Linked DNA regions of Alligator mississippiensis. The protein of the gene in region 2 interacts with the protein of the main gene of each other region in a pairwise test. Links are inferred from orthologs where the notes say so. Each region holds a gene or a part of one and is shown on either strand. Other genes may lie near its edges.

Region 1 (10,280 bases), on a different chromosome or scaffold from region 2:
TCAGTAGCATGCAGGGCAAAAACCATGTAATATACTACCTGACAGTACTATTAAGGGCGTGTGAAGATGAAACGACATTTCTTGTTTACACCAACGCAATTGTGTTTGTGTTTGCATGACCCAGGATGTCCTCCTGCTCTAAAAATCCACTTCGAGCCTTTAACTAAGACTACTCGGAGATGAGTTATTATGCGACGCTCCCCAGTTACACTGCCCCAGCTATGGATTTGTTCATTCAAACAGACAGGCTCTGAAGACTTCTAATGAATCCCCTTTGCCATGAGGTGGCGCTGTGTTCCAGCCTTTAGCCAGCAGGTGCCACTGTGATTTTTTTTTTTTTTTACCCTTGTTCACTCCTCACCCCTCACTCACAGCACACAGTGGAGTGGCCACAGGTTCAGATCAGGTCTGCAAATTACTATTTTTATTGTAACAAAAAGAAATGGGGGAGGAAGCCAATATTCTCTTAATTTACTACCCCCTCTTAATTCTTCTGCCCCCCCGCCACCTATAGTGTATGTCCTCCTGCCCCCACACATACCCTCCATCTGTGCCCCCCACACCTCCCGCCATGTGGGCATAGCTCCTGATGACAGCTGCAGCAGCAACACTGTAATGGTAAGTTTTCTGCAAGTAGTTTGAAACTTTGGAGTGAGTGTTTACATGATTTCCTTCAACACTGCAAACCTTCTGAACTTCATCACATTCCATTTCAGAACCACGACCAAAAGTCCAGGGGCAGGACACTGCCTACCAGACCCAACGCCCAGCATATGCAGTGTCCCAGGTGATATTTAGGTAATAGGTAATATGTCCCACCAACCTTCAACCTTGTGTGTTGAGGGGGGCAAAAGTCCAGTTTTTCAACTGTGCTCCAAACCCTTCTCCTCTTCCTCTTCTTCCTTTTTCCCCCTCCCTGCAGAAAACTTTCATGGGAGGAACTCGCTAGGGGCCGCAACCAGTAAAAATAAAAATAAAGAGAGTGGAAGACTATATTGTGCAGATTTGCAGTTGTTATTTTTGTATTTTATATATTTTTTTATACTTTATATATATTTTATATTGTGAAGGTACTGGGGAGGAAGAGCCCCCTTTTTTATAATATTTTATCCTTATTTATTTAAAATCTACACTACTGCACAGTTAGCATCACTAAAAAGCCATGCACCAGTGCTACTGCACAGTAGCACCAGTTACTGTGCATTGATTTAGTACTTGGTTATACAAGTACTAAACTTAATGTGCAGTAACTATGACACATTAATGAACCCCTTTGGGGTTTAGATCTCATGAGGAGAAAGTTCAGCAGAGACTCAAAGCAACAACCTATAGGGGACAGTACAGAGTGCAACTGATATTTGACCACAGGCAGGTGGGTTTGGTTTGGATCTTCAGCTTCACCTGTGAGAAAAGTCAAAGATTCCTGGGTGGCACAAAAACAAAAGCCTAACTGGAGTGAGTGCCTGGGAGGAAGAGTGCACCCACAAGTGCAATGTGTTGAGAAGAAAAGTCTATCTGGGGCACACAGGAGTTTTGGTGAATCCTGAACCCATTTTAATTATCTCTACCATTCCCATGATTTAGAAAGTTTAAGGCGCTCCTTTTTAAAATGGTCAGGAGGCTACATGGGAATAAGATAGATCTGGAAACCCATGGTTTTCCTACAAACCATGCAAAAAAAAAATGGTGAGAGATCTTTATCAGGTATCTCACCGTATCCTGAAATAACCCTTTTTTTATCCAGTAGATATCTGGGAGAGAGAACTTTTGAACTTTTTGAATTTTTGACACAAACTTGACAGAGCAGCTTTGAGAAATTCTGCTGAACACCCAATGATCTGAAGTTGAATAGGCACTAGCCAAAATAAAATCACCAGTTAGCTGCACCTCATCCTGAAGCATTGCCTGACATTAATATTTAGCTCCTGCAAAATATCATTAATTCTCCCAGTAGGAAATCAAAAGTGAGAAACTGACATATACCTCTGACATAAAATAAAATTAAATAATGCTTTTTTGGGGGGAAGTGGTGGGTTAGGTCTAAGAAGTCATCTTTATCCACCGCAAAAGGCAAAACAAATATTTCTTAATTTTAGTTTCTTAGGATACCAGTTCATTTCTGTGGGAGCCTGGGACACTGTAAAACCAGGCAACAGCTTTCTCAAAGAGGGGAGAGAGAGAGCAATGCATACGCAGGAAGTAGGCATCTAGCCCAAAATTCTCAAACAAACTGCTGATGGTCTGTCTCCTGCCTGGCCTTCATATGCACCCTAAAACATGTGAACCAAATGTTCCATTGGTCCCATGGAAGACTATATTCAATTCTGCTGGTATTTAGAAAAAGAATAAACTTCTACTTTTCTGCATATAAAAGTACTTTAAATGTTAAGCATTGCAATACAGATGAAGTTGAGATTGAAGAAAATAATTGCACATTTTTCTCTTTATTGAATTTAACAAAATTCAGTAATAGTTGAATCATTATGGCAAAGAAAATGAAGTTAATAATTTGTTAGCCAACAATAAAATGAGTATGAACTATAACTGGACACAAGGAATCTGTAACAATAAAACACTATATATAATATATGGAGATTGATAATTTCAAAGGTCAAAGAAAAATCGTAATATAATAAAAAAGATAATGAGAACATCTTATTGCAAAGAGGAGTAAGTTATCATTCAAGGATCAGTTAGGTTTTGTAATAACAGCCTCTGACCTCAAGCCAGGCGGTACAGCGGAACTGATCTGGGGGGGAGCAATCTGCCCCTGTTACATCCTTCATGATCAGCGGTTTTCAAACTTTTTGAGCTGAGCCCCACCTTTCAGTTACAATTTTATTTGTACCCCCTACCCCCATCACCCCAGAGGAACACCACAGCCAGGCACAGGGCACCCCTCATTCTAGGAACTACTTGGCTCGGTGGGCTCCACCTGCCACAGCTCCAGCGCATCCTGCCTTGGCCCTGCTGCAGGTCTAGGTTGCATGCCTGCCACCCCAGGCTCCCCGAGGCACAGCAGCCCGCTGGCAGAACCTACCCGGGTCTCCCGGTCCCTCATCCCCCTGGCAAGGCTGTAGTTACCAGTTCCTTCCAAATTTCTTGCCTATACCCCCTTAACATTCCTTCATGCCCCCCCGGGGGGGTGAGCCCAACAGCTTGAATACCTCTGTTCTAAATTTATTTCCCTAGAATAAGGAAGGAAGGCAGGAAAGGAATTGTCTCTCTGCTAATTCCAAAACCTTTCCTTAGGTAGTGCAGTCCTTTAGGGTGAGATATACTGTCTCAGTCTTGTCCTAAATGCCAAAACGATGGATTCTCAGTGCAGGAAATGAGTTTTAAAGTCTAATATTTTAACTACTAAAAGCATCTTTTCTTTTCCTATCAAAAGGAAACAGATTTTTTTTCAAAGTTTGCAATGGGGCATTTTACACTAGTGCTATGTAAATTGCATGTGAAAATTACTATAGAGATCTAAATGATGTCTTATATTTAGGACAGTGTATGCCTGCCCCATAACTTTGCATTTGTCTATTCCCTAAGACCATCAAAACTGTTTTCTTTTTACTTTGTTGGAGGAAATAGGGGGGGGGGGGGGGGGGGAGAATGTTATTTGAGTTAATTTTATTTTCTTCTCTGGTAGGTTAGCTGAATTAAGACACTGGTTATGAAGTAAAACTGACTGGGGTTTTCCTTTGGTATGGCTGTCCTAATAGCTTTCTTGATTCATTTGACATTAAACTTTTAATAAAAGTTCTGTCCAAGCTGCAATCTGCAGTGCTAGCAAAATGTCAGCTCCTGCAATGACAGCTGGCATTGTTACGATTCTGTGTGTAGGGGGAAGTCCATTACCTTGTGTAAAGCCAGAGTTCAGTCTGGTATCATGGAGTTAGACCTTCCTGGAGTTAACACTTAGCCAGCACCCCACACTTGAACAGTGGTGTATGACTCAAACGTTTGGTGAAAACAATTGCTGGCATCCTATATAATCTCAGTTTAGTCTTTACAAAACCCTCTCATGTACCACATTCAACTTGTGTGCTATAAATGCATGTCTGGGTCTCTGTGTGTACAGAGCGCTCGCTATCCCCTCTGGGTTTCTGTGCCGCCTCCTGATCCCCATCAGTTCTCTCTAAAACTGACCCCATAAAGGCACACTCAGACCTCATAGTTATCATGAGTATTTCATAATGCTTACACATTTGACGTGTCTTTCATGCATTTCCAGGCTGTGAGCATGTGTATGACTGAAAAAGCCTCTCCTACAAAATACCCTATTATTTCTTGAGCTGCAAACCAGGAGACCATGAATTTGACAAAATCTATTGATTATTTCTTCGCTGCCATAGTAGTAATTATTCATAGTGAAGTAAGTCTATTGCAGCCTCCACACAGGGAGATGTTTCAACATTCAGCTGTGAAACCAGGTGACATGAGTTCAACAGTGGATGTTCCAGATGTGATCTACTTTATCTAGTACGTGTTTTCTCTAGCCTTTTGCTCTTTGGAGCGTGGAGAATACTGTAATGGGGAGAAGCACAGTAAGGCTAACTGGTGGGTCAGTCCCATAGAATCACAATGTTTGTAACCATGATAGTCCAGGGAATATGCAAGAAGCAAGGTTTATTTGGTAACATCTTTAATTGGCACTGCTGTGTAGTTGGGAGAGATGGCATGAAACTCATCTGACATGTCTTGCAACTATATACCTGGTCCAATAAATGTAGCCAACTGCATCAGAACAACAAGGTATTGGCTCGCTTGAATTCTAGGAGGGAGCGTTAGTATAGTAGTAGGGGGGCTGCTTTTCAAATGTGTCTTTACAGGCTTTTCAAAAACAGCCTCTTTTTCCTAACACTACGTTGTGCCTTTCAGGGCATCATCACCTTTGCAATTAACCATGAATTAAAGTACAGGCCTGGTTCCTTTGTGACTCCATCAGTCAAATGCTTCTTGCCTCACCCATGAACAGGTGGCCCACTTAAACAGTCAGCATAGTAGTAGAGCAAGCAGGATTTGACAGCACATACAAAACTCTCGGTGAAATCCAACAGAGTTGGCTGTATGCAGCAGCTATTGAATTGTGTCAATGTCTACAGATGTACAAACACAGCAATTCTGATAGGTCACCAACCAGTGCCATTTAGGATGGCATTGAAAATCTCTTCCCTTCTCAACCTGGATCAGTATAAACATGAGATATGGACAACAAATACTGCTCAGAATGAAACTTGATGGAAAAATACAGGCCGCAATTCAATAATTGTCATGAGCACAGCACAGGTGGCTACAAATGAATAGGTAGTTTCCAAAATAAATATTTTGCAAGAACTCAATAAATAGCTCTTTCTACTTACTTCTTCCCTTTGCTAGTTATACATATATTGAATAGTTTCCAATCACAACCCATATTAGCATTTGAGTTTAGGTTTGTGTATGGTTGCCCGAATAAACGTTTGGTTTATTTTCTTCAGTACATAAAGGCACACCCAGAAGCATAAGGTTAATATCAGTAATACATTTTCTTAATACATTCGCCCCTAAATCCTTGTCTTTCCTGGCTTGCTGATTTAAACCACTACTGTAGTGTCATTTATAAGTTAATTTAGTAACTATTATATGCAAAAGAAAGAACAGTACAGATATTTTCATCTTTTGGGAAGAGGGATTTGGTGAGGTGGAATAGGGAGAGATCTTTATAGGTCACCTGAATAAGCTACAATGACTTGACCTTGAGGAGGTCATGTGACCATTTGAGCTTTAGCCAGCCACATCATCCTGTAAATTGTTTGCAAGATAAGACAGAATATATATTCCTGTTGCAAATCTGAACTACATCTCAGGTTGAGCAGAAGCACCACAAGAAATCTCCCTTTTTGATCAGAAAAATGGCATTTGATGGCACCTGGAAGGTAGACAGAAGTGAAAACTATGAAAAGTTCATGGAGGAGATGGGTAAGCTTTACTGTTCTATTATGTCACAGAAAGATAATTCTAACTACAACTATTTAAGAGCGATTGTTGAATGCTGGTGATGCCCTCCTTGTCCTCCTTTCAATTGCCTTTTAGTGTTCCTGCTCATTTGCTGACTGTCTAATACTGCCTTTTAACTTCTCGGCCTAGCAAATTCACCTCCAAATTTTTCAGCTTTTTCCCTCTACAGCTAATTTCCAGTGTAAGTTTTGGATCTCAGGTACACTGGAGTAAATACAGAGTAACTCTGTCAATGCAAGCAGAATTATTCCATTTACTTTGGCATAAATTGGGAATTCTCTTACTTTACTAAATTTACCTGAAAAATCTATAGAACTAAAAAAAACCCCAATACCTTTTATATAGGACTGTACAGCAAGGATATGATTTTCTGTCTATAGTTTCATTAAATATTACAAAGGCAGACATGTTATCTTAAAAGCTACAGGTTTTTAAGTAATTTCCAAAAGTCCTATTTAATTTCTGTAAATCTCACTTGATTTCAGCGCTATTAAATTCTATATGTTTCCCTAAGGATTAGATGGTAAACATTGCAGATTACTGCAGAGGAACTCATTGAAAGACACAGTTCCACAATAACGTGCCAACTGGTAAAGAGATGTAACAGATGCACCTAAAACTGGGCTTTCAGATTTGGAAGCTGCTTTTGAAAATGCCTGCAGTTACAAGTGGTGGTTGGTTTCAGTCTCTGGGAGGTTGGAGTGGGAATCATCTTCTGCAGTTTACAAAAAAGGAGAGACTAGTTTCCAAATGACTATTTAAATTGAAATGTATTTCCAGTTACTTTATTTAAATGTTGTGATTTGCAATGGAATTAAGAGTTTAAGTCATTTGTGATGAAATTAAGAGCTTAGGAAAAAGAAAATAACAACTGGTCTCATGGCTGTAGAAACAGAAACAGTGCCCAAGTCACTTCAGGTGTGAACCCAACTGAAGTTACTGGGAGTAACGTTTGTTTATGTCTGGAATGAGTTTGACCTTTATAACTCATGGGAAATGTTCACATGAAGAAACAGAGAGCAGAAAATCTAGAAATTAGAAACCTGGAGATGAGTGAGATAGTAAAATAGAGAATAAGTTCCACGGGCCTGAATAATTCAACAAAGGGACTGATTTTTTCACTGCCTTATCCTGGTAGAGATCTTTAATCTTTTGCAAAATGAATGCAAGTTAAGAGATAAAACATAGTTATTCTGATCTGAGGGAGTCCTGCACTAACTTAACTAACAATAAATTCATCCCCCATTGGACCTGATGGTATAGATATGTATTTAATTTGTTTCTTTCTGATTGTTTTTCTAGGTGTTAATGTAATGAAGAGAAAGTTAGGAGCTCATGACAACCTGAAAATCATTATTCAGCAAGAGGGAAATAAATTCACTATCAAAGAATCAAGTACTTTCCGTTCCATAGAAATAGTATTCACGTTGGGAGTTGAATTTGAGTACAGCCTGGCTGATGGGACTGAACTCATTGTAAGAGGCTCACTTTCATATGCTGGACCTGTACTTTTACTAAAGTTATCTCTGGAATTAATGGTTTATTTAGCTTTCTGATTTTATGTAAAACTTGACTCTATGTAAAGTGTATTCATGTAGCAGAGAGCAGAATTTGGCCTCCAACTTAATGTTTATATTTTCACTATAAAAATAATCTAATCCTCCAAAATGAGCAGTGCTGTCTAATTTAGGTCATGTTGAGCCTGCAGTCAAGATGTAACTGCAGCTTGTACTGATAACAGGATAACCTCAACTGCACCAAGTTTAGCATAAGCTACAAAGCCTGCCTGAGAAGCTTGGTATGCACCTAATGAGCCTGCACTGAACTCTGTGCTACCAGAGTTACTGCCAGCAGTACCTGAGTTGGCTTGTTTAAAGCTAGATCATGCGTATCTACATAAGCTATTGTCAGAGCAGTGACTTCACTGTGGACATAGCCATAGTGTGAGCTAAACTAATAAAAGTATATTACAGCTGTTTTTAGCAACTACACAGCTTCGGGAAAGTGTCAAAGTCCTGACATTGAACACTGGAAATCCTTTGTGACTGGGGTACTTCCCTCCATGTAATGGGAAATGAAAGGTGGGTGGTTATTTGAGAGGCTGCACTCGTCTCTGTCAATGAAAGAGGCAGACTTATTTGTATTTTACTGGACCTGATGATCCTTCAGGGTCCCTTCCAGCCCTATGATTCTATTCATCAAATTAAATATATATACTAAACCTACAAATCATACCAAATGTTCTGTACCAGAACATGCTCCAAAATTCCCACTGAGTCCATGAAAAGAGACTATTGCTCAAATTTGAAAAAAATGGTTTCAAATTGGTGTACTCCCAAAATATTTAGGGAGCTAGTTTGTGTGCAGCACCATGTGAACACAGCTATTATAACTGCAATGGGTAGCGGTGTAAACAACTTCTGGTTTGGGAAGTCTGGGTAGTATTTGGCACTGTCCTGGATTTTGTTCCCTAAAAGCTGGTCACTTTACCAGTACCCTGATCTCAGAAGAAAGAAAACTTCTATCAATTTAATATATATGTATAAAAATAAGTATTCAAACTAGAAGAAATCTGGAAATTTCTTGGAGTTGGAAAGTCGGTAAAATAGTTTCAGTGTATCTCCATTTTACAGGACTATTGACAGTATGCAAAAATATTCAATTGCTTTAACTCCTTTTAATGCTTTTAACAACATTTTAACAGTCCTGCCATATGTATATGAGTCAATAGTAATACAATTTTCTTGGATTTTTTTGTTTTTTTTACATTGTAGGGTTCCTGGAACATGGAAGGAAATAAGCTTGTGGGAAAATTCAACAGGAAAGATAATAAGAAAGAACTGAAGGCATTCAGAGAAATAGTAGGCGATGAACTAGTTCAGGTAAGTTAAAAAGCAACTGGAGGTTTTTTTGGTTAATGTAAAATATCAAACTATAATGAATTCAGACCTATGTTAAAACTAGCTGAAAAATGAGAAATGTATGTAAGATCTTTTTTGTTCTAAAAATGCCCGACGTTTGTTCAACATCTGCCATTTTTAAATTAAAGATCCACTGGAATTTCAAAATTTACAGATTAAACATGGCCATTTTAAAAAATATTATCGTACCCATGTGGATTAAATTCAGTGCATGTGTTCTAAGTCAGTGGTGCTCAACCCTCCAGCCTCCGAGGCCAGTAGTGCAGGCTCAGCTGCATCCTTTGGGTGAGGTTGGTCTGCTGGCCTGATTCACTGTAGAGAAGCATGTGGGGTCAGTCTGAGAGTGTGACACTGCGCCAGCCTGAATACAGGTTGGAAGATTTTCAAAAAAAAGGGAAAAAAACCCCACGGTTCCAACCTTCAGTCTTTCTATTTGCTTTTGATGGAACTACTCACATGAGTGAGCTGGGGTTACTGTTAAAGTAGCAACAGGAGTGCACCCTGATATTGTAATGCCATGATAGATAATAATGTGGGATCTGTGAAATAAATCTTAGAGGAAGAAGCCACTGATAACAACTCTTTTTTTTCATTAAACTTTACAGATTTATATATATGAAGGAGTTGAAGCCAAGAGAATCTTTAAAAGGGGTTAAGAATCAAGCCTAAGATGGTAGTCCAGGACAAACCAGAAATCTGGTGGAAGAATTATATTATACATGACAACTGTATGCATACAGACCCCCCAAGCAAACACCAAATTATTGGTCACTCATCCCTGATGTAAAAACAGCCATTTTCAGTCTTGTCAATATTAAATAAACAGAAAATAGGTGTATTTGCACTACAGATTGATACCTGTTTAGATATGTAGCATGTTTAAATGCTGCAAGAACTATTTTCATTTTGTAAATAAAAATATTGTTTCTGCACTGACAGTTAAGTTGTGATTTGTTTTCATTGCTGCAAGGTGTACGTTGCTGCATGCTGCGTGTTGCTCTGTGTACTGCATATTAGGAGATTGTATAATTAAAAAAAAACTTAAAAAAACACCCAAGCTCTTAAGTTCCTGAGGCTTTTACACATACATACTTCCCAGAAGTTTTTGTGTATGTAGCCACAAAGATTGTGAGTTTGATAACATAGTTAATGTTTAAGAGAGTCAAAGACATTAGTAGGATTTCAAGATTTTGTTGCAACTTTACAGATGGTGTTTTTTCAAATAAGCCATGAAGTAAAAAAAACCTCCCTCCGGTATATCAAAGACACTCATTACATTTTAAATAGCAGAACTATTATTAATGCCCCATATACATCTATAGCTTATACTTTACTGAAGAAGGCAGAGTAGAAATGCACCTAACA
Region 2 (10,415 bases):
TCTTTACGTTCCTTACGTTGCTGCTCCTAGGCTTGAGACTTTTTCTCTTAGTATACAAGTTGAGCAATGTGGGCAATATATGTTGAAAAAACCAAGTCGTTGAGGTTACAACATCCTTCCCAACATGACATGGTCTATTAAATGATATAACAGTTGCACTCAAGGACCTGGAGGATGTCTGGCAGAGTTGCCCACTGTTCAGTATACCAGAGGACTTGAAGGTAGGTCAGTTCAGCCATATCTTTCAGCACATACCAACACTTCCACCAAGTGAAACAGGGCAATATTAAAAACTGATTCTAGAACTCTGCCTTTATCTAAAAATATTCAGAGGACAGTATTTCATGCTTGCATTCTGTTCTGTCATTTTATGTCAGGTAACATCATATGTAGACAGTGGGAAACAATTTCTTTCAAGCTTATCAAAAACCTTTTTTGTAGTAGTAGTAATAGTAGTAGTAATCAACATGCCTAAATGAACAGAGTATTTTAAATCCCATCTATCCTTTTGCTGTACTGTTTGAAAAATATATGAACTGTATATTTGGTGTTCATTTAGGCTGCAGGTAATACAGACTGAGGGAAGGATTCACCAGAGTGAACTGGGTGATGGATCATGATTTAAGACAGGAGGCCAGCTCCTTAGCAAGTATAAATGACACCTGTGCTAATTATAGCCAATGCGTGTTCAGGTCACCCTGCACTAAAGCTATGAAAAAATATATTTTGGGGGGGGGGGGTGGTCTCAGTTTCCCCTATTGAAGCTATTCCACCCTCCATGGAATACTTAAACAAATATTATGACAGAGAAAGAACAAGAAAGAGAGAGACTCATCTAGGAGATGGAACACTAGATTCCTATCATTGTTACAGATCATATATACCATATTCACCCAAATCCAAAATAACTTTGTATTTAAGGTGACCCTCCCCCCTCAATAATTAGATCCTATACATGGAAAATTACAAATCTGTTATAATTTTCCATGAATAAATCCTAATTAGTGGAAGGTTGTCTTAAATTTGTCTTTCCTACTGCTATGGCAGTGAAAGCAGCAGTGGGGGGAAGGGGCGGACCCCTGCACTTTGTTCCCCAGCTCCTTGCCCCCCTCCGTCCCCTACCTGCTCCCCCTTGCTTGTGCCTGCCCCCCTCCTCCACTCCCTGTCCATCTGCTTGCCCTTACTTTCTGCTGCAGCACCTCCAGGGCAGTCAGCAGTAGTGTAGCCCCAGCCCCAGGCCCTGCTTCCCGCACACCTCACATGGGAGAGGTACTTCCTCCCAAACATCCCCTTCACAGACACAACAGAATGGGTATCTCTTGTTCTTTAGCCATCACTTGGAACTTCTGCTGCTCACTTTTTTACAATGACTGCCTTTTCACATGCCAGGGCACATGTTTGGCTTGTAGGATCATATAGCAAAGTAGAAGTCAAGATGTTGTGCTGTAGTATGAACATGTACCACCTAATGGGCCCAGTACGATTCACAGAGTTGCAAACCACTTACTTTAGGGGCTACAGTTTAGCAACCACAAACAGGAGTAGGGTGGCCATCATACAGGACATTCCCGTTTTCTGCTACTCTGCCCTCTATTGATACGAAACCCAGTGCCTTTATGTCAAGAGAAAAATAGAGGACATAAAGGCATCGGGTTTCGTATCAACAGAGGACAGAGGACAACCAGACTGTCCTCTATGATGGTCACCCCACACAGGAGCTTACTGGACAGAATAAGGGAAACATGTTAGAGACTTAGGAAAACCAAATCAAAACTCCAACAATGTTAAATAAGACTTCCTGCCCTTACTGTCAACCAAAGTGCCCTAGCAATAGTCACAAACCCAACCCCCTTCTCCTTCTCCCTTAGCTGCAAGTGGCTGATGCAGTGTTTATCCCCTAACTTCCTCTTCTTCTTATGCCCTATTCACAGTTCACTGTCTAGGTTGGGAGAGTCTAAATGTGGGGTAGTCTGCCCCCTCACTACAGTTCCAGGTGCTGTACCACCAATCCCAGCTGCGAAATGGTCATTGGTCTGGTACTGGCACTCAGAGTCCATCAGTTGTTCTTGGCCATTTTATCCCAAGCAATCTTAGCTCCTCCAAACTGTTCCATGCCTAGCCATCTGGTGTCCACTTGTCACCTCAAAACTGCTTCTTTTGTTGCAACTCTACTTACCAGTTCTGCAGCAAGTCTGGCCATCCCCTCAGCGCTCTACTGCAGCATCTCAGCTCCTCAGAAAGGAGTCGAGAGCATGTAGGACCCCCCGCTCTGCCACAAAAGAAAGACTCCTGAGTGGAAGACTCGTCTTTCCTTCTCCTTACTTTACCCATGCTCCTTTACCCCACCATGTGAGGCTGCAGTCATTTTAAGGTGTGATGCTTTGCCTAAGTCACATTTGACATAGTTCTCTTTTCCATTTATTTTCAGATATGGATAACAGAATTTTATAAACCCAACTTCAAAATGTAACTTTATGTTAATGAAAACGCCCTAAATTGTCATATAACCAACATGCAAATGAGGCCTGGCTCCCAGCTCCCCAGAGATGCTGACAGAGGGCTCCTTTGCCCTGTAGGACTTCTGCCTGTCTGGTGGTCTCAGGGAGCTCTGGCCACTCTTCTCTCTGTTCTCCAACAGGTGTCAAGAGTTAGGTCCCTAACCTTTCAAAGCTCTAAGCAATAGGCTTTATATACAACTATTTATACAAACTGAGACACCATCACTGGCAACAGGAAAGACAGAAAGTAGCCCCCAACCCCAGCATGTAAGTTAGGACATATTCCAGAATATTCCGGAGAGAAGTGGACTCAAGTCTAGACAGACAGAAGAGAGGATTGTGGCTGCCTGCTGTAAGTGCTGGTTATTAGGTAAATTAGACAATAGTATCCTTATTTTTGTGAATGTAGCCCGAAACTTTATTCCAGCAAAACAATTGGAGACATTTGTCCTGAAGTTTGCAAATCATTTGGGGAGGATCAAAGGTGCAATTTTTGGTGAATATAAGTATCCACTAAAAAAAGACAATCTACTCAGTATCTCACGTAAATAGACTCTAATGCCAATTACCAAATCTTATTACTGCTTTGACACTGTTGGAAAATCATCAGCTCTGAAATGTGGCATTCTCTTGTTTTGACCTCAGTATATTTATACAGTAGGGCCACCTATATGCTTTGCTACCTTACTTCAAGCTGTTAAATAGCAAAATCCATATCTTTCCAAATGTTGTAGCCTTTCTAAACAATCTCTCTTAAGTACTTCAATATAATTGGGTGTTTTTTCCTACAAAAAAGGCTGTTTAATTTCCCTCCAACATTTTTCCCTTGGCTGGGGATTAGTATTCATAACCGAGTAACATACACAGCCCCTTCCATTTTCTTTTGGAATGTACTCAATATATTCTTTGAAACCTGATGAACTCTTGCTCTGTGGGATACATATGCAAGAAATATAGCAATAAATAGGAGGCTCACAACCAGAGCATATAGGCAGCCCTGATGTATAAATATATTGAGGTCAAAACAAGAGAATGCCACATTTCAGAGTCGATGATTTTCCAACAGTTTATTTTGCTATAGGTAAATATTAACTGGAATAGGATGTAACTGCTCCTTTAAGAAAACCAGGAAAAGCCTCCTGGCTAGGACCACTCACCCAGATTTTCCTGGAACAATTCTTCTAGGACAGGTGACATGGTCACCACGGTGGGGGAAGTGATCACAGATAAGCAGTCTGGAATTCATACTAAAGCATATGCTAGTCAGCTGTTTGTACCGTCTTGGGATTTCTGGTCATTTTCAGGCTTACATACACATGGAGGACAATTAAAATGTATCCGAGTAGGATTGTACATGTTAATCATATAGATGTCTCAGGGTACAGGTATACAGAAAAAAAAAGTTGTTCTTATGTTACTGACTGCTACTGAGTGCAGTTTGGGAAGAGATTCAGTCAACATGCATGAAATCAAGACTTGGAAAGCTCACAGACTCACTGAAATAAGGTCAAGAGTTCAGAAATGAATGTTTAACGCTAGGCACACTGAACTATCTGAAGTGATTTGATTTTCAAAAGTGAGTACTCAGGAGCTCCCATGGATTTCAGGTGCTTAATTGTGGCTTTAGGAGTCTAATTTTAGGCATTTCCAAAAACATGGTTTTTGAGTGAATGCAGTGTGAACATATGCTGCAATATCTATAAGATATAGCTTTGTGTCTTATGACAGCCATACAGGAGCAAAATAAAATACTTATATGTAATATATTTCTCTCTCATTTTGATTACTTACCAATCTATGCATAAAGGTCTTAATAAACACTTTGATATGGATTTACAAATTGTTGACCATTTTAAATGCTTAGCTTGCTTTCTTATTCTATACCTAATAAGCAGTTAATAAATAAAATGTAATTTCTCATTGTAGTACTGTAGTACATTCCTAAGAAACATAGTAATTACACATCAACTGAGATCATGACCTTGTCTCTGCTGATTCTTTTCCCTAAATACATTTTGCAAAATGTTGGGAAAGCTAAAAAATAAATATTGATGTATTGAAGCACAAGGTGATATTTGCTTTTGAATAAACTTAGCATGAAGATATTTGGAAATCCCTTTTCAGTAATGAGTACCTGAAAATATAGTCAATTTGAGAGACAGAAAAAGAAGTGATGGATTTTCTTTCCCTATCTACATAGATTAACGGATCCTTCTCACCAGTGACAATTGTTCTATGTTCATTAAAAAAAACCATCTACAGAGCAAAATGTATCAAGGATACAACAAATGGCATATATTAAAGTTTTAACACATAATTAGGATGACCATGTTTCCTAAGTCTCAAAACAGGACAACTTGAAAAGTGTGTGTGTGGTTGGGGGGGGGTTACCCTAGCGCTTCCTTTTCAACGGTTCGCTGGCATTCTGCATTACTCTGCCCCACTCCACCCTGTAAGTCTCCACTATGTTTAGCTGTATCCAAGCTATGGTCTTAGGTGAGAGGCTGGAGAGAAGTGTGTTGTGGGATGTCGAAGGATTAGCAGTTGCCCTATCACAGTTCCAGCTAGAGAGCACTGCCACTGCTGCATTCCAGCTGAAAATGGGACAAAAGCATTCATTCCACCAAACCAATTGGATCCCAAGGACACTTATTTAAAATGGGACGTCTGGGGGAAAAACAGGATGTATGGTCACCCTATATATCATGCCCATGGCAGGATCACAATAAATCATCCTTCGAAAGATATCTTCCATACTCTGGAAATTGTTCAGTATAAATACTGCAGCAAAGGAAATGATTCTAGCATTTTTCTGACCGCTATACTGTGCTATATGTATATCAGAAATATAAAACGATGGATTTTTATGCTGTGCCTAAAACAAGTATTTATAGAGTTACTTTACTACATAGAACAATAAGAGGACTCAATTTTAAATACTTTTTAAATAGGTTTTAAAGTTTCTAAATAACCTGATAACTTCAAGGGCCTGTATGATGGTTCATTAAAAATGTTCCTATTTGTTTTAGATTGTTAAAAAAACCCATATCGTTGCTCGGCATTAGACTACCATACACGGAGTAAATGATTGTTTAATCACTACATTGATGGAAACCTGGAGTTCTGAATCATCATTTTAGTTTCTCAAAGAAATGAAAGAGCTGTGATCCAAGCTATAACTTTCAGCCAATCACATAAAGACAAATCAGCCTTCAGGCAAATCAGGAGTCTTGATTTAAGCTTACCTGGACTTGGCTCTTTGCCCAGTTGTAAAAATCTCTGTTAAAAACACTGCAAAATTCATATTAGCATGTTTCCATTTTTGCACATTGTCATTGCTATGAAAGACTGAATATCAAATAGGCTGCTGATTAAAACTAATTGATCCTGAAAATGTTTTTCTTTATTAAAAAAAGGGGAAGTTTAGCTCCCTGGGGATACTATTCAAATACAGAGCTCGTGGGTGGAGTTGAGGTGTGCCAAGGTACATAAGTAGGCATTATGAGCCCTAGAGGTTCACAATGAAACTTGGAACACTTTCATAACTCTTCAGACAGGTGGGAGAGCAAACAAGGTAAGGCTGTGAGCACTGGCTTAGAAATGTACCTGTTAGAATCCTGTGAGCTTTATGTTCAGGTTACTTATTACTGCAGCAGGTAACAGACAGAAAGCAAGGAATGGAGCAACTTACAGTTGAGCTCGCCATGGGGGAATAGATGGAATAATGCTGTCTCTTCATGTTAAAAGAATTAGAATGATTTTTTTTAACAGCTTAGAATGACTATACCTAGCTTTGCACAGATGCTGCTTTAGGTGTAGTGCTTCTTGGCCTTTACTTTCAGTTCTGCATCATCCTGAGATTTGTTTGTTCTTGCTTTTCCTGGTTGGCCGGCACCCCTTTGTTCTTTTTAAAGGAGACCTTCATCTGTACTGATCTGATTAAACTATCTTTAGAATCTCCAGTGGGCTTCTAAGCAAGACTCATTCAAACCTCGTCCTTTCAGAGAACAATTTTTTTTTTTTTAATGTAAAGGTCAGTGTATGTCCAAAACCTGGTACTGCATTTTGCATGGCTCTGAAGCTGTGATTACATAGATAGTCAGGGTCTACTGAGCATTACAACGGCAAAGAATGCTGTACCATTTATTCAGCCTGAGGAAAGCAAGTCCTCCCAGGGCTTCTGGCAAAGCGAGGCTGAATGGTATCACATTTCCACTTTTCTAACCTGCATTTTAAAAGGTGCTTATGCACCCACGTTGATGTTCCTATGCTTTAGAATGTCTGCTTACCTTAAGCTTTTCTGTGTACCTCTTAGCTCAGTATCCTAGCATCCAGTGACAAGTGAATGAGAAAGTTGGATCATGCTAAGTGAATTCACTGGCAGAATCATTTCATTTAGAAAACTGAGAAACATGTCATCTAACATGACCTGCTTCATTCTCACTCGTACAATTGGGCAGAGGAAGAGATTTCAGTAGCAAAGCATCCCTGGAAGTGATACATTGCATTTCTAAACCAATCCTCAGTGTTCTAAATGAAACCATTATTTCTTGAAAACTGTATTATTGTGTGGCTTTAAGGGAAAGATTTAGAGAACAATATTAGAATTCAAGACATATTTTGAAGGCTTTGGCAAGTAACTCCCTGTAACTTCATTGTTTCATTTGCAAAACTGAGGAAATGACCTCCTCAACCTAACTTCCCTGAACAAAACACTTGGGAAGTGCTTAATTTTTGCAGTGATGGATTTTATAGAAAGGTCTCAGAAATACTTATTATTATTTGCAAAAGCCTTTATATTCTAACATGATGGGTATTATAGAAAATGCTGAACTTCCATTGTTTCATTGAGCTAATTCAGTATTTGTAGTACTGTCAAGAAAAACAGGAGAGGGAGTAAAAGAGATATAGCATCAAAGTGGGTCTCTAGGCTGACTACATCTAGATGAGATAAGCTTATTTAAAACTGGCAACAAGTAACTTAAAACAAAATTATACCAGTTCCTGAGATATTAAAAAATATTTGCTAAACCAGTCTGACTATTCATTACATTTTTAGGAACACAATCTACCTATAGCAGTTCATTCCAGCAGTGACCCAGCCCTGATATATTTTTATGACTTAACTGTAGACTGAGAGCTTATATGTAGCACCCTCTTAAACACTTATCCAGTTAGAAGTGTGAAAAATGGCAGCATTATAAATGTCAATTATCTTTTTCAGCACTAGTCATGGAGAAGAATTATATTTCAATGTTCCTGCTGCTTGTTGCTGTTGCCTATACCCTTGCTAAAGATTTTGGGGCTAAGGACAAAAAGGACACACATGAGTATAAACCAAAATTGCCTCAAACTCTCTCCAGAGGTAAAATGTTGTTCATTCTCACTGCCCTACTTCCATAAGAATCTTTAACCCTTTAATCTCCTAATATTTATTCCTCTTGCATTATTAATAGTTCCTTGACACTTTGCTCTTTTCCTTTCAGCTACCTATATTTAAAAAAAAAACAGTCTCTTGCCACTTGAAATACACTTTCCTGATATTTTTTCTACAAGTCATTTTGTCTTCATTGCATTTAAATTCCCTTTTGGCAAGACATTCTCAAAGTAGTTCTCAGTAGCCTTTATGTTTACACTTGACCTATAAAATAGTTTTCTCATCGCCAACAACTTTGACAGTGACTCCTCTTTGTCATTTGCCTTTAGGTTGGGGTGATCAGCTGATCTGGACTCAGACTTATGAAGAAGCCTTGTTTAGAGCCAAGTCTGGGTAAATCAACTTTACCTATTCTTTTGATAGGTTTCAATGGCGCCATCTAGTGTGATATCTATATTTACATGAATAATAGCAAGAAAAGAGAAGTTGCCAGAACTTAGAAATGTGTCCATTTATTAACTGATTTTACAGTCTAAGATGTTTTTCCACATAAGTACTGGCTTTAAGATTGGTAATAGTAAAAATCTGAAATAAGACTTCTTCTGTTTCAGTAACAAACCCATATTGATTATTCATCATTTAGAGGACTGCCCACACAGTCAAGGTAAGTTTTGAGTAGAAACATCTTGCTTTACACCTTTATATTGCTAAAAAAACACCCGTTTTTCTTCTAAAAACACCTCATTGAAATACTAACCTAAGCAAGCAACCTGTGTTGCTTTCAGAATTGCAGACATTTTAATCTTGTGCAGTACAGGTTCAAATCATGATACATTAGCTTTCAATTTTGTGAGAATGATGCAAATTTAATCTAAGGCTGGGAATAAAGGTGTTGAGAAAGTGTTATTTCTAGAGATGGACTGAGCAAGATGCATGCAATTCTCACTCCTGATCAAAGTTACCATTTACAATGGGATGCAGACATGACAGTGTAGAAATTTCAAGTTCTAAGAGATTTCTGCCATATTGGGGACATCTGTTTTCTCAAGACTTCCAGCCATATTCATACTAGAGCCCTAATGCAATAAGTCATCTATATGATTAGTTCCTATTACTCATGAAAAGCCCTCCATTTCCTTGGAGATCCCTGTGCACCTAACGGACCATCCAAACAATTCAGTTTTGAGAACAGCCCTCAACCTGTAAAGTTGTAAACCAAACCAGAACTAACTTCAGAGTGTTTGGCTTAGACTCCTCTTAGGAGTGAGAATTGCCTGCATCTTTCTCAGTCCATATCTAGAAATAACACTTTCTCAACACCTTTATTCATATGCACAGTTAGAAAGAGTTTAGACTACAGGAACGCAGTTTTGTGCCACTTGCCTTTGTTACTTAAGGTCTGTTCCAGCTACTGTTCACCAACACGCTAAAAGAAAGGCACCTACAGCCTTTTCAGCTGGTCACTATAATCGTTTTCTAACTTGAATTCAGGGTTTGAACTACAAGGGAGCTCATGGGGGCTGAGCCCTGCCGTAAGAGATGAGAGCTCTCCTGTAAGATTTGAAAATCATAACTTGGGGGGGGGGGGGGGGTCTGATTTTATTGGGGTATTGTGATGGGCCGCCTAATTTTTTTTGCAGACCCCTGCAAGAGTCAAAGTGTAATTTGAACCCTGCATTGGATGTGTATATTATAGCATGGAGAATCCACCAATCACTCCAGATCTGACTCTGTATTGTTTCTTGACAAAGATAAATGGTTAATTTCCTTCCTGGCTTTTGTTTTTTTTTAACAATCATTCGCATCTATGTTCTAGCACTGAAGAAAGTATTTGCTGCACACAAAGAAATACAGAAATTAGCTGAAAAGTTTGTTCTTATTAATCTTGTTGTAAGTATTCAGCTACACTTTATTAAAGCTCTCTTTTATAACACTGTCTGGAACCAATAAACTTCCATCTTTATAGTGTCTTGGATAAGGTTAATGTTTGGCATCACTTGCCAAGGGGAAATGACTATGCTGCAATAGGGATAGATTTAGCAATAAATCTTTACCTATTATAATAATATATAATGACTATAAAATATTTATACCAATAAAACAATTAATTATGAGATGCCTTGCAGTTATAGCATTGTTCTCTCATTAATGTATTCCTCACATATTAAAACATAATCTTTAAAATGAATTTTAATTTTATAGCCACCAAATTATGAACTGGAAATTAAACGTTCTGTTTATATTACCTATACAGCATGACTAACAGCACTCTTGATTTAAAACCTTATCATTTATTCCAGTATGAAACAACAGACAAGCATCTTTCACCTGATGGCCAGTATGTCCCTCGAATTATGTTTATTGGTGAGTACCTGGCACTCTCAAAGAGGCTCAAGAATAATGCTATCTATTGTAAAGCTGCAGAGACTAGGTTCTGTAATGTGACAAAAACATAAAACCCTCAGCATTATTAATGGGAATTAATTCAGCAGGAGAATGGAATCTTTATATTTGATTTGCTGGGATGGATGAGAAAAACC

Evidence for each region. The genes of interacting proteins can lie anywhere in the genome.
Region 1: the proteins of AGR2 (region 2) and FABP2 interact in binary tests that used the Homo sapiens proteins (3 or more experiments, as listed by UniProt). The two-hybrid records come from large-scale screens. The link is inferred for Alligator mississippiensis from reciprocal best matches to the Homo sapiens genes AGR2 and FABP2.

Annotation. Positions count from the first base shown.
Region 1 is NC_081825.1:120,595,245-120,605,524, forward strand, and holds FABP2 (fatty acid-binding protein, intestinal), read left to right. Parts: upstream 1-5,527; 5' UTR 5,528-5,888; coding exon 5,889-5,955; intron 5,956-7,296; coding exon 7,297-7,469; intron 7,470-8,768; coding exon 8,769-8,876; intron 8,877-9,520; coding exon 9,521-9,571; 3' UTR 9,572-9,827; downstream 9,828-10,280. UniProt on the Homo sapiens protein: FABPs are thought to play a role in the intracellular transport of long-chain fatty acids and their acyl-CoA esters. FABP2 is probably involved in triglyceride-rich lipoprotein synthesis.
Region 2 is NC_081828.1:163,709,048-163,719,462, forward strand, and holds the start of AGR2 (anterior gradient protein 2 homolog), read left to right. Parts: upstream 1-5,972; 5' UTR 5,973-6,072; intron 6,073-7,722; 5' UTR 7,723-7,730; coding exon 7,731-7,863; intron 7,864-8,204; coding exon 8,205-8,268; intron 8,269-8,486; coding exon 8,487-8,539; intron 8,540-9,691; coding exon 9,692-9,765; intron 9,766-10,175; coding exon 10,176-10,239; intron 10,240-10,415. UniProt on the Homo sapiens protein: Required for MUC2 post-transcriptional synthesis and secretion. May play a role in the production of mucus by intestinal cells. Proto-oncogene that may play a role in cell migration, cell differentiation and cell growth. Promotes cell adhesion.